4 linked regions of the Medicago truncatula genome follow. Each later gene encodes a partner of the first gene's protein in a complex. Links are inferred from orthologs where the notes say so. Each region holds a gene or a part of one and is shown in the gene's direction. Other genes may lie near its edges.

What was found.
Region 2: kinetochore protein NDC80 homolog (region 1) and kinetochore protein SPC24 homolog share a complex: the UniProt entries of both Arabidopsis thaliana proteins name them as parts of the NDC80 complex. The link is inferred for Medicago truncatula from reciprocal best matches to the Arabidopsis thaliana genes AT3G54630 and AT3G08880.
Region 3: kinetochore protein NDC80 homolog (region 1) and kinetochore protein NUF2 homolog share a complex: the UniProt entries of both Arabidopsis thaliana proteins name them as parts of the NDC80 complex. The link is inferred for Medicago truncatula from reciprocal best matches to the Arabidopsis thaliana genes AT3G54630 and AT1G61000.
Region 4: kinetochore protein NDC80 homolog (region 1) and kinetochore protein SPC25 homolog share a complex: the UniProt entries of both Arabidopsis thaliana proteins name them as parts of the NDC80 complex. The link is inferred for Medicago truncatula from reciprocal best matches to the Arabidopsis thaliana genes AT3G54630 and AT3G48210.

Annotation. Positions count from the first base shown.
Region 1 is NC_053043.1:10,660,096-10,667,338, reverse strand, and holds the start of kinetochore protein NDC80 homolog, read left to right. Parts: upstream 1-4,236; 5' UTR 4,237-4,343; coding exon 4,344-5,428; intron 5,429-5,785; coding exon 5,786-6,032; intron 6,033-6,583; coding exon 6,584-6,730; intron 6,731-7,243. UniProt on the Arabidopsis thaliana protein: Acts as a component of the essential kinetochore-associated NDC80 complex, which is required for chromosome segregation and spindle checkpoint activity to ensure proper cell division.
Region 2 is NC_053042.1:48,947,142-48,954,122, reverse strand, and holds the start of kinetochore protein SPC24 homolog, read left to right. Parts: upstream 1-3,962; 5' UTR 3,963-4,096; coding exon 4,097-4,286; intron 4,287-6,820; coding exon 6,821-6,962; intron 6,963-6,981. UniProt on the Arabidopsis thaliana protein: Acts as a component of the essential kinetochore-associated NDC80 complex, which is required for chromosome segregation and spindle checkpoint activity to ensure proper cell division. Required for the maintenance of plant architecture.
Region 3 is NC_053049.1:40,977,515-40,984,668, forward strand, and holds the start of kinetochore protein NUF2 homolog, read left to right. Parts: upstream 1-4,144; 5' UTR 4,145-4,326; coding exon 4,327-4,496; intron 4,497-4,572; coding exon 4,573-4,797; intron 4,798-4,889; coding exon 4,890-4,983; intron 4,984-5,070; coding exon 5,071-5,250; intron 5,251-5,557; coding exon 5,558-5,647; intron 5,648-7,074; coding exon 7,075-7,154. Other genes in the region: basic blue protein, read left to right, coding at 638-803, 2,981-3,183. UniProt on the Arabidopsis thaliana protein: Acts as a component of the essential kinetochore-associated NDC80 complex, which is required for chromosome segregation and spindle checkpoint activity to ensure proper cell division.
Region 4 is NC_053045.1:51,670,345-51,677,186, reverse strand, and holds the start of kinetochore protein SPC25 homolog, read left to right. Parts: upstream 1-3,826; 5' UTR 3,827-3,912; coding exon 3,913-4,051; intron 4,052-4,132; coding exon 4,133-4,198; intron 4,199-4,292; coding exon 4,293-4,439; intron 4,440-5,858; coding exon 5,859-5,972; intron 5,973-6,057; coding exon 6,058-6,147; intron 6,148-6,231; coding exon 6,232-6,354; intron 6,355-6,788; coding exon 6,789-6,842. Other genes in the region: uncharacterized protein, read left to right, coding at 31-494. UniProt on the Arabidopsis thaliana protein: Acts as a component of the essential kinetochore-associated NDC80 complex, which is required for chromosome segregation and spindle checkpoint activity to ensure proper cell division.

The DNA of each region.
Region 1 (7,243 bases):
ATTTCATTGGGTGATTTTGAAAGCAAAATTAAATCAACCTAAATTATGAAACCTAAACTCAGATTATTATTTTCCAATGTTTTATAACATTGCATTTTAATGAAACTGTACGCAGATGACTTAATCAAAATACACTATCTGAAATTGACATGTTATATTATACCCTATATAAAATTGTGTTGATGTAAACTTATGATCAAAATACATAACTTAATATCAGGGTATTGGAAAGCTTACAATTAAAGTATAAAAAAATCAGACTTTTTTTTAGGAAGCTGTAGAGATATATATTTTCGATAACCATGAACAAAAATAAAATTCGCGCACTGATTACCCTTTCTGAGAGTGTGGCAAACAGTTACATTACCTTGCCTGATTAGATCCTTCACATCTTGAATCAAGACAACATAAACATGGTATCATATAGTCGAGCCTTTGATGGGGTTTATACAATGCAAGGAGTCGGTATATCAAACAAGCTCAATTATATTCAAGTTTTTTTTGCCAAAATAAGCCCCTAGTAAATAGCGTGAAGCTCGGCATACATGATGTCAGAAGAATCATTAATATAGCCTCAGAAACCTGATAAATAATATCCAACATTGTTTCGAATAATTCCACCAAAACCAGCTCTCGCGGGGGTGCCCAATCAACTACCAATCAGGAATGATACCATTGAGTTTTGTTTTTAACAAACCTGGTTTTGCATCCGGTATAACTAGAGTATAAGAAGAGAGAAATATGAATGATATTTGTACCACCATTTTATAACAATTTTTTTGTATAACTCTCTTTTATACTCACAACATGTTCTTATTTTTCCTCTTCATTTTACTTTCTCTATTGTTTTTGATTAATAAGAGAACAAAAGAAGGTTGTCACAAAAGCTGTCACAAATGATTGTATAAGTATCACTATTCAGCAAAATGGAAGGTGCGTAGGAAGGTGGGTGATGGTTCTGATACGTTGTTTTGGTTTCACTGGTGGTGTGGAGGGGCGCCCCTTAGAGAGCAGTTTCCCAGGTTGTTCGATTTAGCTGTAGACAAATATATTACTGTTGCTAACTTGAGGTTGTTGCGGGGTGGGGAGGGGTGGAGTTGGAGGCGGAGGTTGTGGGCGTGGGAGGAGATTGTCTTAGAGGAGTGTAGGACATTATTGCTTGATGTTTCTCTGTTTACTGATATTTCAGATTCTTGGATTTGGCTTCCTAACCCTATAGGAGGTTATTCTGTTTGAGGTGCTTATGAGGTGTTAACAGCGACTGTCAACTCCATCACGGATAGTGTTGTGGATTTGGTTTGGCATCATCAGGTTCCTTTGAAGGTGTCGATATTTGCTTGGCGTCTTATGAGGGATCAATTATCGACGAGATCAAATTTGGCATCAAGAGGCATCTTCAGTTAGACACGGCTCTCTGTGTCACAGGGTGTGGTTCAATTGAAACATCAGATCATTTATTTCTATCTTGCCCGTTTTTTGCGGATTTATGGGAGCAATTGCGGCTCTGGATAGGCTGTGTGGGGGTCGACTCCAACATTATTTCTAATCACTTCGTGCAGTTCACTTGTTTGTCAGGTTTTGCCAAAGCTAGGCGATCGTTTCTTGAGTTAATATGGCTTTTGACTACTTGGGTGATTTGGAGTGAGCGTAATAATCGTTTGTTTAAAAATGTTGTAACTGAGGCTCCTAGACAAGGGGATCCCCTCTCCCCTTATCTTTAGCAAAATTAATGGCTTTCCTACTGAACAGTTTTTCCCTCAGAGAGGGATTAGACAAGGGGATCCCCTCTCCCCTTATCTTTTCATTCTTTGTGCAGAAGTGCTCTCTGGTTTAATCCATAAATTCAAGAATCAGGGTCTCATTCATGGTATTTCTATTGCCACTAATGCTCCTTCTCTTACCCACCTTCTATATGCAGATGATAGCCTTCTTTTTTGCAAGGCTAAACCTGAGGAGGCTGTTCATATTGCTAATATTCTTACCCATTACCAGGCTATTTCTGGCCAAAAAGTGAATCTCAGTAAATCAGATATGGTTTTCAGTCCTAATATTAGTAATAGTACAAAAGAGCTTTTTAAGGCCAACCTTCATATTAACATCAGTGATAATATTACCAAGTATCTGGGCCTCCCTACTCAGTTTGGCAGATCTAAGTCTCATGACTTTAGGTTCATAATGGATAGAATAAGAAAAAAATTAAAAGGCTGGAAAGAAAAAAACCTTTCCTTTGAAGGTAGGGGTGTCTTAATTCGTGCTGTTGCTCAGGCCATTCCTGTTTATGTTATGAGTTGTTATCTCTTACCTATTTCTCTTTGTGAGGATATAGAAAGGGCAGTTTGTAATTTCTGGTGGGGTGGCACTGAACACACAAGGAAGATTCATTGGGTTTCCAAGCAAATTTTATTCAAACAGAAGAAGGAGGGTGGTATGGGTTTTAAAATTCTCAGGGATTTTAACTTAGCCATGTTGGCTAAACAAATTTGGAGACTTCACATTTACCCTGATTCCCTTCTGGCTAAATGTTTAAAAGCTAAGTACTATCCTAATTCTGATGTCCTTAAGGCTACTGCTGGTTACAATCCCAGCTATGCATGGAGAAGTTTACAAAAATCTATTTGGATTCTCAATAAAGGCTGTTGCTGGAGGATTGGAAATGGAGATCAGGTTCATATTCAAAGTGATAACTGGCTCCCTTATAATAATGGTTACAAACCTATCTACTCTAACCCCAATAGCCCTCCTATGGTTAAAGATTTACTTACTGAATTCCCCTTTGATTGGAATTATAATTTACTTCAGCAAAATTTTCTGCCTATGGATAGCTCCCAAATTGCTCAGCTTCCCATTATTCACCCAAACAAACCAGATGTGCTTATGTGGATGTTTGATCTTAGTGGAAGCTATACGGTCAAGAGTGGTTATAATGCTATTCAAAACTGGAAAGCTACGGCTAGCAATGACTCTTCAGCTAGTTCTGTCAATAACACTCTTTGGCAGAAATTATGGAACCTTAAAACTATTCCTAGACACAAATCCCTCTTATGGAGAATCCTAAACAACTCCCTACCTCTGAGGGATAATTTACTTAGAAGAGGAATTCAATGCTCCATATTATGCCCCCGTTGTAATATCAAAGAAGAAACTATGACCCATCTTTTCATGCGTTGTTCTCATTCAGAGAGAGTTTGGTTTGGATCCCAACTATCTATTCAAATGCCTAGTATTTCTAACCAACAATTCTCTGACTGGATTGCGGAAACTATTCTCAATAAAGATAGCAACACAGTTATACAAGTAGCAGCTATTACTTACAGTTTGTGGTATGCTCGAAATCAAGCTGTCCACGAAGACATCCTCATTCCAGAAACTCATATCATTCAAAGAGCAGCGTCAAGCCTCTCAGCATATCTGAAAGCTAATGCGAAAGTATCAGAAACTGGCTCCTCCCATTCCAGTGTTGTTTCCACAAACCATGGCAATCATGCTTCCTCTTCGGAAAAATGGAAACGTCCTGATCATAGCTTCGTAAAGGTTAATACCGATGCCAATTTGCAAGTCCAAGGAAGGTGGGGTTTAGGATGTATCATCAGAGGCGAGGATGGTAATGTGAAGCTATCGGCGACTTGGAGCAGGAATGGTTTTTATTGTGCAAAAACGGCGGAAGCTTATGGAATTTATGCCGGAATGGTTCTTGCGGTGTTTGCAGGTTTTCGTAAGATCATTTTTGAAAGTGACTGCAAAAATGTTATAGAGAAGCTCAAAGACCCTGTTTTAAAAGATAGAACTTACCTTGGAGCTATCTTATGCGAAATCTGCTTGCTTAGTGGTCAGTTAGATGATTGTAGATTTCATTTTATTCATAGGCAGGGCAATCATGTGGCACACACTTTAGCCCAACTTGCCCATGATAAACCTAATAATATTTGGTGGGAGTCTGTTCCTAACCAAGCCCAACCTATGTACATTCATGATCTAATTAATTAATTCAATCAGTCTTTTTTTTCAAAAAAAAAAAAAAAAATATTAGAAGATTGATTTTGCAATCGATTACCGATACATCTTGTTGTCTGCTTGTAATAATATGTAATTTCTATAATATTTAGTTACATTAAATAAAAGTTTTTTTTGACAGGGGATTAAAAAAAAAGTTATTAATTAAATAAAATAAAATATTCCACTCCACGATTTAAAAATTAAAAATAAATCCGCTCCACGTTTCTTGAAGCTACTCTCCCTCTTCCGACACAAAATTCAAGTCTCACACACAACATACCCGTTGCATTCAACAACAAGAAGAGGGAAACCTCTTCATTTTCATTTTCAAATTCATCACTCACTCCAAAATGAGACAACCCACCACCACCCACCGTCGCCAACCCAAAGACACCTACCCACCACCAACCCCTCTCAACCACCGCGACTCCGACATCAGTCTCGTCAGCAGCCGCCCCTCCTCCGTCGGAATCCCCTCTTTCGACCTTTACAAAGACCGCTCCTATCAACAATCCGCCGTCGCAACCATCAACTCCTTCCTCTCCTCTCACAATTTCCACATCTCTTTCAAATCTTCTCCTTCCCCTTCCGCTAAACAGATCCACGAAACCCTAATTTTCCTTACCAAACTCCTTGAATTTCCTGTTACAAAACTCGAAGACGATCTTCCTTTACTTCTCAAACTCTTCAACTACCCTTTTAAACTTAATAAATCCATTCTTAAAAACCCTGCTACCCCGCATCAATGGCCTTCAATGCTTTGTCTTATTCATTGGCTTGTTCAGATTTGTAATTTTAACTTATCTCTCTCCAATTCCTCCAGTACAACAACTATTCTTCATAACAATAATATTCTCTTTGGATATTGTTTGAATAGTTATCTTAATTTTATTAGAGGCGATGACGAGGCTATTCTTGATATGGAGGATCAAATTCGCCAAAAGATTCTTCATGAGAAATCTGTTGCTCAGGAGAAGCTGGCTGCTGTGGAGCTAACTGTTGTTGAATTGGAGGCGCAATTGGAGGAAGTGAGATCCGCGCCGTCTAAGAAGGATGAGCTTGAGAAAGAGAAGGCTGTGTTGGAAGGTGATGTGAATAAGTTTCATAAGATAATCGAGGAGTTTGGGTCAAGGATTGATCCGCTGGAGAGGGTTTTGATGGAGAAGGAGAAGCAATTGGAGGCTAAGGTGGTGGAGAATGAGAGGATTGTTGAGGAGAATGAGGAGCTTAAGAGTAAAGTGGAGTTGCAGACTTTTAATGCGAGAGATGTGGATAGGATGAAGAAGGAGTTGCAGGCTGCTGAGAGGGATGCTAGTGAGGCGGAACTTGCTAGAAATGCTTGGGAGGAGAAGTGTTGGGAAGTTGATAGCACTCTCGCGCATAAGATCAAAGACTTAGAGGCTCTCTCCATCGATTGCAACCTGGCCCTTAGGAGGTTCTTTTATTTTCTTCATGTATTTTACTGTGCCCCATTTGTTTTATAATCATTTGTTAAATTGCTGCTATAGTATAGCAGATTTTGGACCAACCGCTATTGTTTTGAGATACGTTATGTTATATAGTACAAAATGTTGTCAAATAGTGGTTGTTATAGTGGTGCTATAGCACCATTGCATAGCGAAATTTAACAATCCTCTATTTTACACTATCAGCAATTGAAAACACTGATCATATTTACTAGTTGAATGTGCACTGTTTGGCTATTTGTTTTAGACTAGACAAATTCATTCGCTGTGTTAATCTTAAGAGGGAATTAATTACTAAGCAAATGTTTCATTTCATGTGCTTCTAGGTTGAAGATTGGTAATGACATTCAGTATGTGTTGAATCCCAAGGGAACCACGCCTGCTGAAATCATGGGTTTTGATTACAAAGTCATGCTGAAGCCTGTACTTGAATCCTATGCTGATGACATCAAGAGAAGTTCGGTGGTGAAATTGGAAGAGTTGGTTTCCCTTCAGAAAAAGTCCGCTGAAAATGCTGCTAGGCTTGAGGGGAAAAGAAATCAACTTGCTGCACTGCAGTCACGCATTGATCAAGTAAGTGTATTTTTTCATTCTTAGTACTGATTTTAATACTTATTGTGCGATGTGTGCTTGTGCATTACATGAAGGACATGAATCCTAATTTTCTTAGATTGATTATTGTCGAATTTGATGTACTGAGAGAGTGAGTTTGGATAGAGATTGATTATGTGTGAACAGTGTGGTATCAGAGTGGTGCTGGCCTGAAGGAATTAGAATGTGGAAGCTGATGCAGGGGTAATGTTGTTGAATTGATGGCTCATGCCTGTGTTTCTTACTTGTTGCACTACTGTCTACTAGTTCTTATTTATGTTTTTAGTTGTTATCTTTACACTTAGAGAAAATGATATAGTATGTGACCGGAAAACAAAATTAAAATACTATTAAAAGGAAAATTCTTTGCTGTAGATGACAAATCAAGTTCATACCGACTCTTCCTTTTTCTGACAATGTTTATGTTACACTCTTTGTTGGAGTTAGAAGGGCATTTGAAACATAAATTGTCTTGCCTTGTAAAGACTGTTGTTTGACTTTTCTTTTCTACTGCTTGTTGATTTATTCACTAGCTGGAAACTCAAAGGGACATGATAAAGAAAGAAACACAGGACTACAGAAATAGATGTTCTGCCGAAGCTAAGAAGATATCGGACGATATCCAGCTAGCTGATCATGATGTGGGCATTATGGAAAGAGAGGCAGCTGAGGTTCTAAAGGTAAAATCCGGATTCTTATTTTTATCTTTAATAGTAAAATCAGTTGTATTTGAACCAAATTGGGGTAAAAGGCGTTGGTAGTTGTTATATGTATTGAATATTTGAACATCTGTTTGTCATTGTTATGTTTATTGTGTTTCAATGAACTTGGAAGGTGACCAAAATTTGCTGTAAATATGCATTCCACATTGATTGGCCAATTTCGTGCCAGTTTAGTTTTTGGATTTTTTCCTAAGATGCTAGTTGCTACCCATTGATCTTGTGTTTCAATCATTTTTTTGGCTGTATTATACTGTGCAAGAATATGAGTGCATAATTTGACATAATTTCTTACTTCCGCAACTAGCATGTTTTTCGTACTGTGTTGAATCCGTTCCTTTTTATTGCAAGCTTTGGCTTACCCTAGTAAATGATAATCAAACTGGGAATGTTGAAGAAAAAAGGCACACTAAATGTTAATTGCATATCTATATTTGTGATATGTAACATGTAACTTGCAGTTATATATTTGTA
Region 2 (6,981 bases), on another chromosome or scaffold:
CATTAATAATTGCACTAAAATCAGAAACACCATGCTTAATACCTCGTTAAACAACACAGCTTATATTCATTATTGAATGACAATTATTTAAAATCTTCTTGAGCAGGAGATATATATATTTTTCTTACATTTGTTTAATTTTCTTGGAGAAACTTGTTTTTTATACTCATAGAGAAACTTGTAATTGAAATTTGCAAGCATATATCTACATTATTAAAATGAGAGTTAAGAGTGTAAACGGTTCCGACAAAATTGATGAAATTGAAAAATCAAATCAAATTGATATGTTGAAAACCAAACTGAATTGATTCTAATTTGATCGGTTTGAACATTTTTTAAACTGAAATCCAAACCAGGAATCATTAGACTCCGATGAGAGTCCTATTGAGAGAGTTAAAGATCCTTTCTATTTAATAGATACTATCATTTCAAGAGAGATAAATCTATTGAATATAATCATATTATTCAATTAATATTGTTGTATTTGTCCATGTGAACTTGACTTAGTTGATATAAACATTACATTCTATATTTATAGGTCGAGTTCGAACATCAGACACAACATCTGTAACGCCCCAATTTTATTTAATTATTATTGGTTGATTTAAAGTCTTTTTATATATGATTTTATATAATTATGTTGATTATGTGGTGTGTCATATTTTATTAAATGAATTATTTTACTATTTAATAGAATAAGTGGGAATTTAGAATATTTGGAGTTCAAGGGGCTGATTTAGAAATAAGGAGAGTTGTGTGGGATTAAGTGGAAATAGAGGAAGTTGAATTAGGTTTAGAAAAGAAAAGGGAGAAGTTAGAAAGAGGAGAGAAACTGTTTTCACGTACATCAGTTTTGGGAGAAAACAAGAGAAAGCAAGAGAACCAAGGGAGAGCCAGGTGAAGAAAATCAGAATTGTAGAGCTTTGTTCATCTGAATTAAGGTAAGGGTGAGGCTAACTTGCAATGATTTTAGTTTATATAATTCTGATTCTGTTTGACAAAAGTTATGAATGAATTTGGAGGATTGAGAATTAGGGTTAAGGAGAGAATTGATGATTAAATGATGGAATTAGGGTGAATTGATGTAGAAATGATGAACAGACCTTAGATGTTTCATATATTGATGTTTAGAATCAGTTTTAAGGTTAGAACAATGGGTTTGGGTGAATTTTTGAGAAAAACTGTAATCTGCCCGTACTGTTATTCATCGCTCGCCTCCCGAGAGATGATCCTCGCCGTAGCGAGTGATGAAGATCATCGCTCGCCTCGCGAGCAGGAGTTGTTCGCCTCGCGAGTTGCATTTCGCAGCTCGCCATAGCGAGCAAGTTTACTCGCCGTAGCGAGTGTGACCAGAGAGCTTGCAAGATCTCGTGATTTTGAGCTGTGAGTTTAACCTTAGATGTTTATGAGGGCCTGAACATGTACCTTAATGATTAGGCAAAGTTTTAGATTGAGTTTGAACTCAGAATAGAGTCAGAATGGAATCTAGAGTGTTTTACCCTAACTCGCCGTGGCGAGTAGAGGCTCTCGCCTCGCGAGCTAGTGCTTGACAGATTGCTTTGTTTAGGATTTTCATGTGGCTTTGTCGCATGAGAGGTTGTGAGCTGAACTTTGAGATAGCAATGAAAGATGTATAGGATATAAATGATGAACTGTGAAGCTGGTTATGGCAAATTGAGGTTATTAATGTGATAAAATTGTATAAGTAATACTTGGTTTATGTGATAATGCTAGACATCGTTGGATTGTATAAAATATTATCATATCATGCTGACGTATACTGTTGTGTTGCTGTTGATTGATTATGATTGTTAATGATCGCTGGTTTATACTTAACTGCATTCAATTAGAATGTACAATGTGTTGGTTCGAGTTGTAAGTGGCGAGTTGTCGTTTCCAAGTAACGGAGTCATAGGTTGTTGATGTTGACCAAGTTGGGGAGTGAGTGAGTTATTATGCACGATCGTTGTCGTTGCCTATGTTGTTGCTGTCGTAGTTGAGTTGTATGCTGATATACACAAGTCGAGTCCTTTCATGATTAGGAAACCGTTGAGGGCTCATGCCCTGGAATGCTCGTCATTCAACCGTTGAGGGCTTATGCCCTGGAATGCCTTGCCATTCAAATTGTTGAGGGCTCATGCCCTGGAATGTTAATCATTCAACCGTTGAGGGCTTATGCCCTGGAATTGCCTTGTCATTCAATCTGTTGAGGGCTCATGCCCTGGAATGTTCATCATTCAAATTGTGGGGGGCTTATGCCCCGGAATGCTTAGTCATTCAATGTGTTGAAAATAGTACCACGCCGTTGTTGTCGTTGAAGTAGTGGATGATGTTGTCGTTGATGGTGATATTGTGGTTGTTGTAGGTTGTGTTGTGGTCGTTGTTGTTGATGGAGATATTGTTGTTGTGGTCGAGTTGTTGTTGTCGTTGTTGGTTGATTTAGTAAGAGTTATTAAAGTTGAAGAAGTATAAATATTATTGTGGGAATATATGTTGCTTATTACGTTATTTAATTAAGTTGATGATTTATATATCTATTATTATTGTTTGTGAATCTCACCCCTTCTGCTTGGAATTGTTGCCTTTCGTATGGGTAACTTGCAGGTATTGAAGCTTATTAGAAGTGGTGGCTCAAAGTGTCTAGGGCTCTGATACGTACGGGATGGGATTTTCTTATTGTTTTTCATTCCTATGTATCAATTTTGAATATTGCTGACGTAGCCCTATGGTTGTTGAATTTATGTTGATAAGGCTTTTATGCCAAAGATTTAATTATGGAGATTTAAACTGTTGCTGTTGTTGTTTTGATGCAAATTTTCCGCTGCAAATTTAATGATGACTTTGAAGGACGTTTATTAAATAGATTTTATATTCTACTTAAAAAATTTTGAAAATGAAGTGTGACATGCCCGTTTGGGAATTACTCTGATGCATGTTTTATTAATTAATTGATTTTTGGGAAACGGGGTGTTACAACATCCTATTTATTTATTTTAAAAAGGTGAATTTTAACTATTAGATTATTTGACAATAAAAATTATTGTATTCAATGGTCCATTTCTCTTCAATTAACGATGTTCTTTAAATGAAGAGGATTCCAACTCCTATCGAAAGGGGTTATATAACTTTTTTAAAAATCTAATCTTAATACTAACTATTTCCTCCATCTGATGAAGAGAGGAAAATAATTTTGAGTGTCTTGTCAAGTATTTATGCATTCTTCATTATCATAAATGCAAAGTAGAATATATTGAATTGAGATTGATGAAAATAATTTTAATTAAAGTTATAATTAAAAAATAATAATTAACATTGTATTAAAAAAAATAAAATGGATCAATTATTTTAGGCTAAATTGCATTTTTGGTCCCTTAACTATTTAGGTAGTATCACTTTGGTCCCTTAATTAAAATTCGATTTATTTTGGTCCCTTAACTCTCTCTGTTACACATTTTGGTCATTTACGTTAGTTTTAATTAAAAAACGTTAGAGTTTTTTCATTTTCTTCTCCTGTTTTTCATCTTCATATCATTTCCATCAACCTTCAACAACAAAAATCCAGGAAAAATTCCAAAAAAAAATGAAGAAACACTAACGTTTTTGAATTAAAAGTAACGGAAAAGACCAAAAGGTATAACAGAGAGAAAGTTAAAGGACCAAAATAAATCGAATCTTAATTAAAGGACCAAAGCAATACTACCTAAATAGTTAACTGACCAAAAATGCAATTTATACTTCTTTTTTTTTCAATCGTTGAGACCGAGGGAATATTCATTTAAGAGTAGTGATATTTGTACATCCAATAGATGACAACTTTGGTGACAATCTATCAAAAACAATGGAGAGAGACAAAGAAATAGAGAGAATAAAAATATACGTGACTATTAGAGAGAAAGTTATTTAAAAGTTGTCACAATGAGCGTAGAATGTCATTTCTCTTGGTTTAATCAAAAGAAAGTGTTTCCCTCCGACTCAAAGGAAAAAAAAAAAAAAAGAACCCCAATTTTGAAACCTTGTTTACTTTCATCAACTCCAATTTCGTTTCTTCTTCCAATTTCGAACGAAAGAAAAACCACCTTCTTCTTCTTCCACATAAATGGCTTCTGATTCTTCTAGAAACTTCGACGTGGATCAGCTTATTTCCATAAGCAACGACCTCATTGAGGTTTTGCAAGATCCCGCTAATGACCGTGATCTCAACATCATCTCTCAATGTCTCCACCACACACTCTCCGTTTCTTCCTCCTGCCACTCCGACCTCAATGAGGTTCTCTCCTCGTTCCAAGGTCAATTTACTCTTTTGCCTTTTTCTATCTCTTCCGTTTCTACCACAAAATAATTACGGGGTTTGGGTTGTTTTGTTAAAGTTTTCATTTTTATGATTTTTTTTTTATTGGGTTTTCGATTTTTGGTGTTGCCCATCATTATTTATTTGCTGTTTGTTCTTTTGGTGTTTTACTTTGCTAATTTTAAGTTTGGTATGAATATTAATAGTTGAAATTCACAAACAATGATAGTCAGAAAAAATTGGGATTTAGGTTTAAGTTTTCATGTTTCTTACACTTACTGTGGCTGTGATTATTTGCTATGTTATGTTTATTTGGCAATTGGGATTGTTATATGGAGAACTATTGGATTGGATCTCTTAGTACTAGTGTGTAATTTATTTATTTATTTGAGGTGTTGCATGTGCAATTAAGGTGTTTGTTAACAGTTTCAAAACTTGAAGAGTATAACTATGTAAAAATGGAGTGGAAGTTTGCAATATGGTTTTTCAATATTTGCATTCTCTTTCTCTATCATTGTCTTAGATGTGGTATCAGTTACATAGTTAAGTCATAATAATGGAAAATAAGAAATGCTGTTCGATTTGATACAAAGTTCACTTGTAATTCAACTGGAAGTAGTTTGTGTGAGTGTCTGGTATGACAATGGAACTGTTTCGTTCTAAAGCAATGCTTTAAAATACGGAAATAGCGGCACTATAGTTCTATAGCGCCGTACGTAGATTTTGATGATAAGTAGAAAAATTCATTGGGTCGTTAGTTGGGACAGAGTGTGTTGAGAGAGATATGGGGAGAGTGGGTTGGGTATACAGAATTTGAGAGGTTTTAATTTAGAACTTCTTGTAAAATGGGTGTGGAGACTCAAAGTGGAAAGACAACTTTTGTGCACAAAGGCGATAATGGCTAAATATGGAAGCCAAGATGGAGTGCGTGTGGTTGGTAATGAATCCAGTTGGTGGCGAGACAGCAAAGCGATGGAAAAGGGAATATGGGAATCTCAAAATAATTGCTGTTTGGATAGAATGAGAAAGTTAGTGAGAAGTGGCAGCTATACAATATTTTGGTTGGACAAATGGATAGTAGATGGCACCTTTCAAGATAGATGTTGGAGATTGTATAGCATAGCAAACAACAACGAGGCTAAGGTGAATGGAGTTTGTAATTTTGTCTAAGAAACACGGGAATGGAAATGCAGCTGGAAAAAGAGGTTGTTTCAAAGGGAAGAGAAATTGATTGACGATGTTGAGTGAGCAGGGGGTCAATGGCGATGTGGAAAAGCAGAAATAAAATGGTTTTTGGGAGAAAATCATTTGAGTTGGACGAGATGTTGGAATCGGTAAAGATCTCATTGTGGAATTGGTTGAAGGTCCAAATTCTAGGAATTGAGTAGCCAATATCTCAATAGTTCTCAGCCTTTAATATGTTTGGGGAGTCGTATATAACTATGATAAAGTTTATGAATGAGGTGGTATGGTTTAACAGGAGACGGTTGTATCGTGGGTCTGGAGGAATGGGATGCAGTGCTTTCAAAATACAAGTTTGATCTGGTGGCAGAAAGTAGATCATAGGAAGTGGGTGGCATTTAAGTGGATGAGATTAATTCACCATAATTAATAGATTGGAGGTGGTGGTGCACATCCAGCTGCACTGTTTATGCAGAAGTTTCTGGTCAGCACAACAGGACGCAGACCGTGGAAGCCTGTAGAATTCTACATGATGGGCTTGTCAATATGGAGAAGTGTTTGTGCTAATTGAGTGTGTGTTTTTTTTTTTGAAGTTATCTTGCAAGAATCAGATGGTTATTAGAGTTTACCTTGGCATTGTGTTCTGGTATGGTTTTATTATGAGGACTATGTTATTTTGTAGAAGGGTGGCAGTGTTCAGAACCCCCCCAGCTGTTGAGCTCTGCCTCCATTCCCTTTCTATATGTCCTGCTCCATCTCTAATGAGTTTTCAGTGATTCTCCTGTTAGTCTCCTACTATGATGATGCCCTTAATTGGAAAGTTGTATATAAGGATGGCCAAAACCAAAAATCAATAAGAACTAGAAGAAATTGATTTTGAGGATTCTAAAGTAGAAGTTGAAAGATGCGATTCACTATTTGACAACAAGAATGATGATTATATTGGAAAAGGGGACCAGAATGAATAGATCTTTTGTCTTTTATGTTCAATCATTATTTACTGCTTTGAGTAATCACTAGTCAGAATTATGAACAATTGAGCTTTTTGAGTTAATTTTGTCACTTTATACAGTTGATTTTTATCTGTATTCAGCTTATTTTTATTTGTATATAGCATGCTTTTTAGTTACATAATTGATTTATTCCAACCGATATGTGGCTTCCGCTATCCGGTATTCCACATAGCGGAATTTTTCTTTCTTGCTATTTTCCGTGATGCACTATTAATAGCCACCCATCTAAAGTAATTCCTTTTAGCTCAACTAGCTCATATCAATGCTATCTATTATGCGTAGATATTCTTGATTGTATAATTGTATTATGTGCTTGACCAATGCTTAGTTGAATCAGATTATCAGAAAAAAATAGATTCGCACAAACAGAAAATTGAGCATGCTAGATCCGAGACTGCTGCTGATGCGGATCTGGAGCTTTTGCAGAGAGAACTGGATGAAGAACTTGAAAAAGAAAGCCTGTTGAAAGAGGAGTTTAGATAAGTCTATTAGTTTTCT
Region 3 (7,154 bases), on another chromosome or scaffold:
GCTTGTTCATAAACCTAACTAAAACTCATTTAGACACGCATAAATAAATATGTGTTTAAATAATTTTTATGAGATTGTGATCATATAAGTATTTTTTTACAGAAAAAAATAGTAAAATGAGAAATACTATATAACAATATAAGTCCAGGTCAACCATGACATCACCATCTATTAATGTACTTTCTTGTAGGACATTTCAAAGAAAAATTATGCCATGGGAGGTTGACATATGCTGTTAGTTGAGTTCCATCTTAGGAAATGGGTTAGCACTCAGGCATACGTGCGAAGCTGGTGCCATGAAACCAAATTTAAAGTCAAATGTACTATCGACAATTTAGAACTGGTGGAGTTTAACTTGAACCACTATCATAATACTAGTATTATCATAAATTGATAGTACCTTAATTATCAATTACAACTTGTGCTAAAAATCATACATCTCAAGAATCATTACGGATTGAATATTTTGGGCAGACCCACGTCTATGGTATCTACTATCTAACCAACTTCCCATAAGATTTCTTGCAGACCTCTTCACTCATTCCTCAATTATAAAACCTTACCACATTATTCCAAATTTTCTTACATCCAAATCCCTTTCTTTCACAGCTTTCTAGCAAGTACTAGTAGAGAAAACATGGCTCTGGGAAGAGGCAGTGTGGTGGTTCTACTAGTCTGCTTTTTTGTTCTTAACTCTGAGCTTGTTCATGCTGCTACCTACAATGTTGGAGGTACTGTAGGTTGGACCTTTAACACGGTTGGGTGGTCTCGAGGAAAACGATTTAGGGCTGGTGACACACTTGGTATGTATCTTCCAATCACTAGAGAATTATTAAATTTTACTCTAATACAATCGTGACCATAAATCTATAATAATTATTTGTCAAACTTTACTTACATTTCAATCAAATTTAAAATGATCAAAGTCCCTTTCTCCTAAGAACTGAAAACGTACAAAAAAAAAATACAAAGATGCTATTTTGTCCTAATACTATTCGACATGAGGGCCATATTGGTGACCCCCCCCCCCCCAACACATCTCCTTGTTTTTTCTAGGGAAGTCTTTACTCTCTCTGCCTTGATTAAAAAAAGTCATATATATATATATATATATATATATATATATATATATATATATATGGGGTTTTCTAGGACACACCTACTAGTTTTTATTAAGGTGTGTTTTAGTAAAGATATAACTAAAAAGTTGTTAAATACACATCTTAAGGTGAATGTTGCTAAAACACACCTTCTAAAATATAAGTGGGTGTATGTTAGCAACTCCTATACGCATTTGCTAGGATACACCCACTTATTTTTTAGAAGGTGTGTTTTAGCAAGTTATAACTAAAAGGCTTAAATATGTAAAAGGTCCCTGTAATTTAGCGTGTTTTTGGTTTTAGTCCCTGTAAGTTTTTTTTCTTCTAAAACAACCCTTGTAATTTCGAAACCTTTTGGAAATCATCCTTGCCGTCAGATTCCGTTAACAAAAAAGCATTGGTGGATAACGGAGGTACACGTGGCAGTTTCTGGGTTGGCAAAAGTTGCTAACGAAATGTTCATAAGGACGAAAACCAAAAACGCAAATGTTCATAGGGATGAAATTGAAAAAAACGTAAATGTCAAAATTTCAAATTTAAAAACAATATATTCTTCTTCTTCTTCATCCTTATTTTTTCTCTTCTACATCTCCTTTTCCTGCCAATTTCTTTATCTCCCTAGAAAAAATTCACCCCCTCGTGGCAATGTCTTCTCGTTCCATTGCTAATACATCATCTCCAAAATCATAAGGATGTTCATCTCCAATTTAAATGAAAACCCTAAAAGGAGATATTGAAAATGTCCAACCTTTACGGTGAGTTCGTTGTTATAATACTATGTTTGTTGTATAATTTTAACAAAGTTTAATTTAATTAAAAGCTTAATATGTTTAATTTATTGTTTAGGCTGCCTCATTGGTGGGTAATTGAGTCTATGCAGAGGCAGTATCCCCAATGTTATGTGATTGAGTTTGTGTAGAGGTTTGTACGGAGGCAGTTGCCACATTGTTGTTTGACTGTCACATAGCAGAAAAGCTATGGAAAACACAATTCTATAATATAGTAATTAAACTTAATAATAAGATAATTTGTAATAAAGTTATATACATAAATAAAACTGCTTCAAAAGATGCAGAATCACTTAATTGTTTTAAGTATAGTAATTGGGTGTGTTTGTCAAAACTGAATTCACATTTGGTTGAGATTGAGTAGCCTCAAAAGCTGTTGCAAGGGAAGGGAGATTCACAATTGGAATGAGAAGACATTGCCACGAGGGGATGAGTTTTTTCTAGGGAGATAAAGAAATTGGAAGGGAAGGGAGATGAACAAGAGAAAAAAGAGGGATGATGAAGAAGATCATCTTGTTTTTAAATTTGAAATTTTGATATTTACATTTTTTCAATTTCGTCCCTATGAACATTTGCGTTTTTGGTTTTCGTCCCTATGAACATTTCGTCAGCAACTTTTGCCAACTCAGAAACTGCCACGTGTGTCTCTGTTACCCAACAATGCTTTTTTGTTGACGGAACCTGACGTCAGGGATGATTTCCAAAAGGTTTCGAAATTACAAGGGTTGTTTTAGAAAAAAAAAACTTACAGAGACTAAAAACAAAAACACGCTAAATTACAGGGACCTTTTACATATTTAAGCCTAACTAAAAAGTAGTTAAATACACCTTAAGATGTAGCTTGCTAAAACACTCCCACATAAAAACTAGTGGGTGTGTTTTAGCAAATCCATATATATATATGGCACTATCCATATTTCAATGCTTCCTCTTAATATTATGGTTAATAACATTATTCTTTTCTTTTATGTCAAGCATCTTAATATTATTCTAATAAAAAAAATATAACACAGAAGATATTTTTTTATACGACTCTTTTAATAATTATCCAATTTCTTGAGTGTAAATATAATTTTTCATATGTTTGTGCAGTGTTCAACTATAGGCAAGGGACTCACAATGTGGTGGCAGTAACCAAAGAAGTGTATGATAAGTGCAGTACTCCAAGAAGGGGATCTAAAGTGTATCGGTCAGGGAAGGATCGGGTCAGGCTTGCTAAGGGACAAAACTACTTCATGTGCAATTTTCCAGGTCACTGCGGTTCTGGTGTGAAAATTGCCATCAATGCTGCTTGATTTTTATACTAGAGTTTAAGTATCAATAATGTATTCAACTTTTATATGCGTGCCTTGCAAATTTCATACCAGTTGCTCTTTTCATATTAGTTGAATCATGCAGAAGCTGTTTCCTTAAATTAAGTATCAGTTTTTCCTACGGTTCTGTTTGTTTGAATCAAGGTGACTGATCTTGTCTCAAGAGAATAAGTTTGTTTGGGCCTTGTGATGTGTTGTTTTGGGTGGCTCCATGAAAGTAGTATTATGGGGAAGTAAGTTCTGTTTTGGTGATTAATTTTAATTTATTCAGAGTTTTTGTACTTTTGTTAGATAAATTACATTTGTTATGCTTTGCTTGTAATGTTACATCCTTACACGTTCATTTGGGTGCAATCATTATGATATCAATATCTGTCTTTTCATATAATAATAATAATAATAATAGTAATAATAATTTGGGTGTAGCTGTTATGATATTAATATATGAATATTAAGGGTAAAAAAAGAACGGATTAAGTCGGGTTTATGTGATCTGAATATGGTATTCACATTAGATCGAACCAATTTTTAAATTTAAATATGTCTACGAATTCGATCAAATTTGATGAGATTTGGGTTCAACAAGTACATGACAATACGAAAACATAATCGGGTTTGTCCGAAGATAAATTGCATGAGATTTGCGATGATATGAGAATGAGTTAGAGAAGTGACGATATGAGATTGGACTAGAGGAACGATGAGCGGTGACGTGTGAAATGAAGTCAATGTTAGAAATTCAAAATAGAAAATGAGTATTGTAGAAATAAAAAAGTTTTGTGTGAGAGACCTAGCTTGAGAGTGTGTAAAATAAAATTAAAAAAAATCTTTACATTATAGAATTATCCAGAATTTCATTTATTTATTTTTTGGTTCAATCTCAATTTGTACAATTGAACAAAAATCAATGAAGGAGCAATAAGTCTGTCTATTCACCAGTAATTTTGATTTTTGTATAGATTTGATCCGTACAGACGCGCACTGCTCGTGTATCACTCTACTAAATACTAAAAAACTTTGGGCGGGACTCAAAATTTTCAATTTTCAATTTTCAATTTTCAATTTTGAATCACACACACGGTCACTTTAACAATCTCTGCGTCTGAGTAGCGGTTGAAGAAGAACATGGCGATGTCGAACTACGAATACCCAAGGCTTCGCCGGCCAGAAATAGTTCAACTCCTAAACAACTTTCAAATTGCTACCGTTACAGAGAACGACATCTCCAACCCCAGAACCGGCGTCGTTTTGGATCTCTACACTCGCATCCTCAACTACCTCGATTTTCTCCACGAGTAACTATCCCTTTCCCTTCTCTTCAATCTTCGCTTCACGCGCTTCATTTTTATTCTCTTTTTGAATTTCTCACAGCGAAGACAACGGACAGCTTGATTTCGATGCACTAGAGCATCTCGAGAATCCCGACCTTCACGTTGGATCTATTCATGCTATCAAGCTTTACAACAAGATCAAGGAAATGCTTAACTTACTTGAATGTCCTAAGAAATACACATTTAACTTTGCCGATCTTCTCAAACCCGATCCTCATCGAACCGAGTTTTTCCTTGGAGCTCTTCTCAATTTCTGTCTCGACAGGTTCGTTCGTTACTCTCACTTCTTCAACCATTTCTGCTAAATCATCAAGGAAAAATAAAACATAACCTAATTGTTAAATTTTTTAAAATCAGGGATGGGAGATTGAATGCGATATCAGAAATCGTAGACGAATTCAACGCGTTGGAACAGAAGATAGTTGAGATTGAAGAGAATAATATTACACAGGTTTATAATATTGAATGATTTTTATTTTTATTTTTTTGTGTGTGTTGGTATTGGTGTTTTATTTGATAGATTTTCATTCTGTTATAGTTGAAATTGGCGATTGCTGAATGCAATGAAGCGAGGGAAAGGGAATTGCCTTCTGTTCAGGAGGTGGATGCAAAAGTTAAAGAGTTGCGTCAAACTATTGCGAACCTGAACAATAAACAGATGTCATTGAGAAGTACAATAAAGAAGTTGAAGGAGAAGACTGTGGAAATGGATGATAAGGTATGCTTTAACCGATAGTGAAAGTTTAGCATAATGAGTTGCATAGTCTTACTTCTTGATGTTGGGTTTTTTGAGTAGTATATGGAATACATTTCAGTAAAGGCATAGATGTTTATGTGAATAATTAATGGTGGATTAGGACATTTAACCCTGTCAGTTATGTAACTTGAACATATATTGCAGACTGCAGCTTAATCTGATCAGTTTATAATATATATTAATTCCTGTGTTGGTACTTGGTGATAAATTATTTTACTTGATGACAATTCTTACTTCTAACTCGATTTTCCTTTTGTTATTACCTCAGATTTCTGATGCTGAATATAAACTGGTACAAAATGTTCAAGAGCATGGAAATCTACTTTCAAAAATTGCTCAATCGCCTGATAAAGTACAGGTATCATTTTCATGTTGGCTATTAGTCTATTCTGTTCACAAAATCTAACTTATTACAATCTTAGCTTTGAAATGTAATGGACATTGCATTTTTCCACCCCATCTTCCTGTGTGAATATTGTAAATGTGTTTTATAGGACTGCCCTTACCTCTGTGTGGTTACCACAGTGGAAAACTCTCGCGACTCACAACCTTCTCTTGGGTAGTGACCGGTGCACATGCTAACATTAACTTAATACATATTTAGCCTGGTAAGCTTGCTGTAACATAACACCTGCGCTTAGCAAAACAAGGAGCTACTGACAATATCAGCAACAGAGAAAAAATCATCCAACATAATTTATGTCCTTCATATTCCATAATTTTATTGTATCAAAAAATTGTGACTACACAAGTAGCATCTCAAAATGCATAATTGTTTACACAACCCAACATAAAAGAATAACTCATAGTTGCATTACACCAAAGTCACAACATAATGGCTGCTTGATAGGTCTGTTATTGTTAGTTAAGTAGTTATTTAAGAGGTTAGTTAATTGGTTAATGGGTAGTTAGTAGCTGAGTTGAGACTTGAGAGGTAGTTAGGCCAAATAAGACATGCTGCCTATAAATAGAGAGGAGGATTAGAGATGGAATCATCTTGCCATTTGAGAGGAATAGGGCCTTTTAGCATAGGCAGGCAGACCCTCAATGTGCTGCCATTGTTTGTAATCAAAGGGATTCCCATTTTCAGTAATAACTAATAATATACCCGTATCTTCTATCAATTGGTATAAAGCTCTTTGTGGGCTCGGTGGGTGGACATCATGATGAATCTTCCACCGTGGTTCTGTTTTTAATGCTTCCTACCAAATTGTCATTGATTCATTTTGTGTGTGGGTGCTTCCGGTGGTAATTGCTGTAGGAGATTTGAGGTGAAATTGTAAGAAATTGGTAGTAGTAGGAAATAGGTAGGCAGACCCAAGGGAGAAGGACAGAGATATGGAAATGTAGAAATAGACTCTTTTATACGTTTTTCCAAAAACTATCTTCATTGGTTCATAGTTCATATGTTAAAAAATGGTATTTGACGTAAAACAGGTCACTGTTAGTGTTATTCTGGTATTTGACAGTGTTATTAGCATGTTTCATGAATTCAGCCTTTGGGTATTTGCTTGAAATAATTGCTCTTTTCCTTTAAATCAGTCTGTTGAAGATGTTTGTAAGTGTGATAATTTAATTGAAAAGAAAACAAATTGTAGGAACTAAATTGAAAGTAAGAGGAGACTAGAGGCACTAACATTTATTTTAACCATGAATTTATTATCACTGTTCGGGTGAACAAACACTGCATGCTTATTTTAAGATGTTCTTGCTGTGTAGAGTAATCTCTGATTTTATCTTTCTGCCTCTACCTATTTAAATTTGCTTCCCTTATCTTGCATGAAGAGAGCTCTAGAGGAAAAGAAATTAGCTCGAGAGGAGGCAAGAAATGCTGAAAGATTAGCCATGCACAATTTCCATGAGAA
Region 4 (6,842 bases), on another chromosome or scaffold:
TGATTGATTACCCTAATTTGAATGTTACAGAAGGTTCAACATCTAATACTCGGCGCGTAAGGGAGGCAGAGCATGCTTCCCGTAGGAGAGCGTGTAGCCAACGGCATGAAGGTGGTGTTCCTTCGAGGCGTCTGGGTGCTAGAGGACGTCATGCTGATGTAGAGCCTGGTGTCGAGCATCAGCCAGAGTGGCAAGAGTATATGGACTTGCAGCAAGAGCAGCCTGATGTGGGCTTGCAGCACATGGAGGATCAGGAACTTGAGGAGGAGTTGCATGCTATGGACGAGGAAATGGAAGATGTCGAGCCACGACAAAGGCGAAAGAAGAAGGAGAAGGTGGTGGACCCTGAGCCACTAAATGACTATCCTGGTGGCCCACACGAGACTGGCCTGCTCTGGATGGCTGAGATTCAGAGGCCGCATGGTGAGATATCTGCCGGAGAGGGTGCTTCGTCAGTTTGGGTGGGTTCAGACCATACCGGGACATCCCGTTGAGGGTGCAGTTGTTGATGTTAATTTGGCGGAGATCACAAACCGCTTTCTCCGTGCACTTGATTATGCGTTGACACCTAAGCAGTTGGTAGAGCCTGCAGTTCATGGTGTGGAGGCAGAAGATGGATATACCGATTGGTTTTATCGACATTCCCATCCACACATGATTCTTCCAAACATGTCGGTACCGGTGCCGAGGTCATTGGAGCGTGAGATCCTTGATGCGCGAGCTGCTCAGAAGGATGGAGACCTTGCCTACTTACAGCTTAGCGGAAGGATGAGCCGCATTAGAGACCACATCTATGTTGTGATGAGAAGTGGTCTGGTGCCGAAAAGGACTGAGGAATGGTAACATTTGGAGGACGCGTTGAAAGAGGTGAATGACGGGAAAGTTTACCGTCGTCGGGGAGCTACTGATGGTGGCAGGGGTGGTGGCAGAGGTGCTAGGGTGTAGTTATTAGGGATTGATTGTATTTTATTTACTTTTAATGTTTGAATATTTTGGATCACAATGTTATGTAACATTTGGATAATTATGTTTTATTAATGTTTGAAAATTATATTGTGTTGTTAATTTCGATTTTATAACTTGATTTTTTGGTCTGCATATGGTCAAAGGCCAACAACATTGACTAAATCTACTCTAAAACATAGGCTCAGCCAAAACAGATGACTTCTGCCTCTATACTGATGCAGTTTGGATTATATAATCCGGACAGATTTATAACATCCGGATTATATAATCCGGAACCATCGTTCACCACCCACTTTTGTTGACTTTCAACGGGGTGATTTACACTTTTCAGATTATATAATACGAAAATCATATAAATTGTTCGGATTATATAATCCGGATTCATCTATTCATTACTGACATCTTCATCCATCAGGGTGATTAAGTGCCAAAATCCACGAATAAATCCGGAATTAATATTCCGGAAGTAGTTCGGATTATATTTTTCGGACAAAGGGTATTTTGGAAGAAAAAAAATAGGGCGCGTGAGGAAAGGTATAGGGTGGGAAAAGTAATATTGCAGATGCCCAATTATCATAGCCCTTTGTGCGTTTCGACGGGCCTTGCTTTCACATATATTAGGAAGATTGCTCTAGGGGACTCTCAAATTGCTCACGCCCCCTAAAAAACTTCAAAATACCTCCCTTGGATTCTAACTCCCGAACATATTGGACCCGAACTCCCATTCGCTACATTTTGGGAGCTACGTTTGATCCAACTCTATCAGTTATGGATCAATAGTTACAAGGTTTAGTCCTCTTGAGGTTAGCTCAGTTGATAGGGACAATACATAATATATGCAAGGTCATAGGTGACCACCACAAAATAAAAATAGGTATAAGGTTTGAAACTGACCCCTGTAGATGAGACGTTAGAATTCAATTGTTCAATTTTATGTTTTTTTGTAGGATCACTTTTTACAAATTGATTGGATGTTAGGATCTGATCCACTCCTGCGTCAGACTAAAACAATTTTTTACACCGAACCACAACATTTTAGAACATTAAATCACCAAAAATATTTTTTTGCACATCAAACATAAATTTAGATCAAACGTATAAAAAACACAAGTTAAATAATAGTTGATAAAAGATAAAATAATGGGCCATATATAAAACCCAACATGAATGAACATACATACTGATCGATCCTTCTTTAAGAATCGACTGATGAGTCAATAATTAGTAGTTTTAATATAATATTTGATTCTGTTTTATTTAGATTTTAAGTTTATTTATTTAAATATTATTTCCTTTTAGAACTATTTTACTTCAATTGCATATTGTTATATTTCATGAACGAATATTTGATAGATTGAGTCTTGGAGCAAAAGAAAGAGGATTAGAAGCTGATTCAGGGTGCTCTTTTGCTGCTTTTGCTTCGGAAACAAGCTACCTATTTTGATCTAAAAGCCCGTGGTTTCTTGTGGAACATTCTAGTGAATAGTTGCTTAGGTTTTAAGTCGACATAAGGCTATAACTAGAGTAGCTAGCTATCACAACAATTCATCTTTTGTTATCTGAAATAATAAGTGACAATTGTTTCTTTGAATAAAAGTTCACCTTTATTTTATGTTCTTCTTCTTCTTCTTCTTTTCTATGTCTACAATGAACGTGAGTGAGTAGACTCTTCTTGTCTTGGGATTGTTGGGTAAGTCTAAATGACATAACCCTAATCAAACCAAGCATTGAGCCCTAATTTTATATAAATCTACTTTCTAATCTAAATTCACCGTTTTAACATGTATTAACAATTACCAAACTGTAGAAGCGAAAGTGGAGGGTTAGTAATTGTTAATTTATCATCTCAAATATTAATTCATAAAGCAAAAGTGGAGTTTTGATATTGGAACAAATGAATTTAGACAAGGATTGCGAAACATGAAAATAGTCTAGCAAACCTTGAGACATATAAAGTTTCGAACTTCAATGATTCTAATAGCAACCAACCATGAAAATATGCGTGGTTGCTAGAGGACCACACTCACAAAGTTTGCTTGTGAAGGGTTTCAAGGGTTCAAAGAGAAACTTGTCTTTAGAAAGTAAATCCAATATAAAATTATGGTTTAGGGTTTGTTTGTGAAGGACTTGTTATTTAGATGAACCAATAATCACAATGCGCTTTTATTTTTATTATTTTATTTTAATTAAAAATCCAAACTTGCAAACTAAAACTCTTTTCTAATCATTGTTGAAAGTTAAGTAAATTCATAACTCCCTATCAAAACGATACTTTTTATTACTACATCGATAAACCGTGCACTTACAGTTTTATCCCATCATCGACCAATAATGACTTACAGTATCATAGTCATTTTTATCCGTGAGAGTTGTATGAACTAGTAATAGACACGATATGCAACTCAGGACACAATGTGATTCTCACTGACTAAACGAAATAGGCCTCAAATTAGACTCTTTTATAGAAAAACAAAATTACAACAAGTCGTGTAATTATGATGAACTAGATATTATAATAGTCATTATTTAAAGGGTTAATTAAGTTTTTAGTCCCTGTAAAATAAAATCACACTTTTTAGTCCCTGTGACATTTTCCTTAAGCATTTTAGGGACTAAAAATGCTAATGGAAAATTTTTATAGGGACTAAAAATGCTTATGAAAAATTTTATAAGGACTAAAAATGTTGATGGAAAATTTTATAAGGATTAAAAAATGTGATTTTATTTTATGGGGATTAAAAACAAAATTCTAAATATTTATAGGGACTAAAAACTTAATTAATCCTTATTTAAATGAATTGGAGATGTAATTTATGTTTTTGAATGACCAAAGTACACTTTCATTTACATAGTTTAACTGAGAAACTGGCCCACCACAACAACGTTCGAGCTTTTTTTTCTAACTCATGAAATTCAAAAACACTGGATACGAGTGAGTCCAGAAAGATGGAGTGTTCAACTTCTTCAACCCATCGCGACTCAGAAATCACTCAACAAATCCACACCATCGACGCCTTTGCCGCTTCCGTCTCCAAATCCTTCCAATCCATTAAAACCACCGGACAACAAACCGCGAAAACTCAAGGTCTTTAGGGTTTCATCTTTCAATTTTCACTTTCACTCTTTTCCTCATATTAGGGTTTTCATTTTTACTTTTCCTTCTCAGTTCAATTAGAAGAGGTTAAAGACAAATTGAAGGAAGTGGAAGATGAATTGGTTAAAGTACTCGCAGGTTGGTTTGTATAAGTATTAGGGTTTTCAATTTTAAGCTTATTTGTTTTAAGTAAGGGAAAATTTGTGAACTTTTTTTGTTTTTGTTTTTTCAGAAAAGACGCGTAAAGAGGCTAAGCGAATGGCTTTGTTAGATGCTATTGCTTCTGCTAAGGCTAGAGTTGGAAATCTCAACTCAAGTATTCAAGAGGTTCGAACGAGGAAACAAGAATATATCTCGTTTCTATCGCAGCAATCACTCGGTAATTAACCTCTTTTTCCTGCAAATGCTGCAATTTGTAGCTATTTAAGTATTTTATGTTTTTACAGATTCAAACCCTGTTTGGTGAAGGAATTTAACATTGACTTAGTGCCCGTTTGGATTGGCTTATTTTTGAGCTTATGAAAAACAACTTATACAAATAAATAAGCTTTTATGTCTTATTCATAAGCTTGTCAATGTAGTTTATGAAAAAACAGCTCTTATGAAGATACAATTTTCATTAGTGGGAACTTTGAGAAAATACAATTTTCACTAGTGGGAACTTATGAATTAACATAAAAACTTATTTATTTGCATAAGCTATTTTTAATGAGATAAAAAATAAGCTAATCCATGGTTGTCGACATCATGATTGGACATGGTTGTAACTTGTTCCCTATTCAAGTCTACATTTTTATTTGTTTATAGGACATATATTTGATGTTTGCTCAATCTATTTGATATTGTGCACACAATGTATGTTAAACATAAAGTAGCCAAATGCCATCTTGCATAAGTATCGAGATTACATGTACTATGAGGTTGTCATGTCTAGACGCTAACATTTTTTTTTAGTAGCTACTTCAACATGTAAATCTTTGTTTTTCTTCTGGAAGCATAGAACTAGTAAGACATGGATTATCATGCAACCTGTAAAATCATTTTTGAAGATTTTAAGTTCGCCTGTTATAAAATAAGATTTGAAGGATGTTTTTCTAACAATGGGTTTGTCATAACTCATACGTTCTTCATTAATTGCTTTTACAGAACATGTATTTATAAGTTTGAACTGTCGTGGTCGTAGTTCTTAAGCTTGTAACTATGTTGTGGTCGTTTTGGGGTTTCTGTTTGCTGGGTGGTTATTGGTTTACTACATCTCTGGTGCCGGGTCTTGAACCAAGTTTCTTGAGGTTGAAGAGAGAATCTCAACCAAGTGACTTCTCGGGAGACAGGCATTGGTTTACTACATCTGTTTAAGCACCGTCAGTCTTTTTAAATTTTTTAGGGTTTTTTTTAAAGTTGTAATGAAGTAATGGGATATCGTTGGTCCCTTTTGTGTATCAAAGTGGTAGAATTAATGAATTTGGGCTTCAAAAAAGCTTGTCTTGTACAAAATCGGGAGATTTTATGTTTGACCGATATCATGATGCCCACTTCCATTATTTTTGAATGTATGAACTGTTTACAAATACTGAACACATTTTCTCAAGAAAAAAAGTATGAATGTTAGCTGTTGCACAGATGTTATGCATTCTAAGTTTTGATTGAGGAACTATGTTTTTGCGTTTCTTCTCTATTATATATTCTATTTGATTTGTTCTACTTACTAAACTTGAAATTACTTCGTTAAAAGAAATGTTATGTACTTTTATAAGATATCCTCTCACCTCCCTCGTCTTCTCTTTTAATCCATATGAAGCTTTGGCAGCATCTGAAGGGAGGTTGAATGAAGGCATTGAACATACAGACGAAACACATGAGGCCATCTCTTGGTATAACAGGGTACTTGGTTTTCATGTCAAAGGGGGACGTGGTAATTGACAATTAACTTTTTTTGCATAAGGTTTCTTTTTATTCTTCTTCACAAAGTTGATATCCTTATTAGTTATGCTCTTCAGGGGTAAAGTTCACGTTCAAGAATATAAATTTGAAGAATCCAAATGAGGAGTACTCTTTTACTGTCTTCCATGATAAAAATACTTATACATGTAAGCAGCCTGCATTTATGATTTTATACAATATTCAGTGTATATACACTTCATGAAACCTACACCATCTCTTTTATCTTTCAGTGTTACGTTGTGAACCTTCCTTCGATGGTATTGAAGAGCTGGTCCATGAATTAAACAAGACAGATGGTCTGTTTAAGTTTGTCAGAGTAATGAGGAAAAAATTTCAAGAAGCATTGGTACAAGGTATCAATGTTTGTTTCTATCTTTTAAATGAGTGCATGCATGTGATGTGGGAGCTCTGCATATTGGAGACTGAAAAGACCGCTTGAATTGTAAAATGATAATAATTCCAAATATGCAGAGCTCCAATACGAAGTGATTCTATTAATAATAATAGTAATTCCAAATACTTCATATTATAATGATGTTTATTCATTATTTGAAGAAAATTTATTGAATGAATGTTTTACCAGTTCATATGTCTTATTGAACTGTTCAAACATGGTTCTAGTTGATTTGATATTCTTCTCATTAGCTTATTATTATATGAATATAAGTATAATTGTTCTTAATATATTTTCTTCACATGTCTAATTAAATAGTATCTTCGCTTGTTGGAAATTGGATGAAAGGGTTGCTTGTAATGAATGTAACTTTATCTAATTGCTATTAAACAGGGAGCTTAGTTCTAACAACAGTCAATCCTGGAGAATCTGCCTTTATATCTTCAT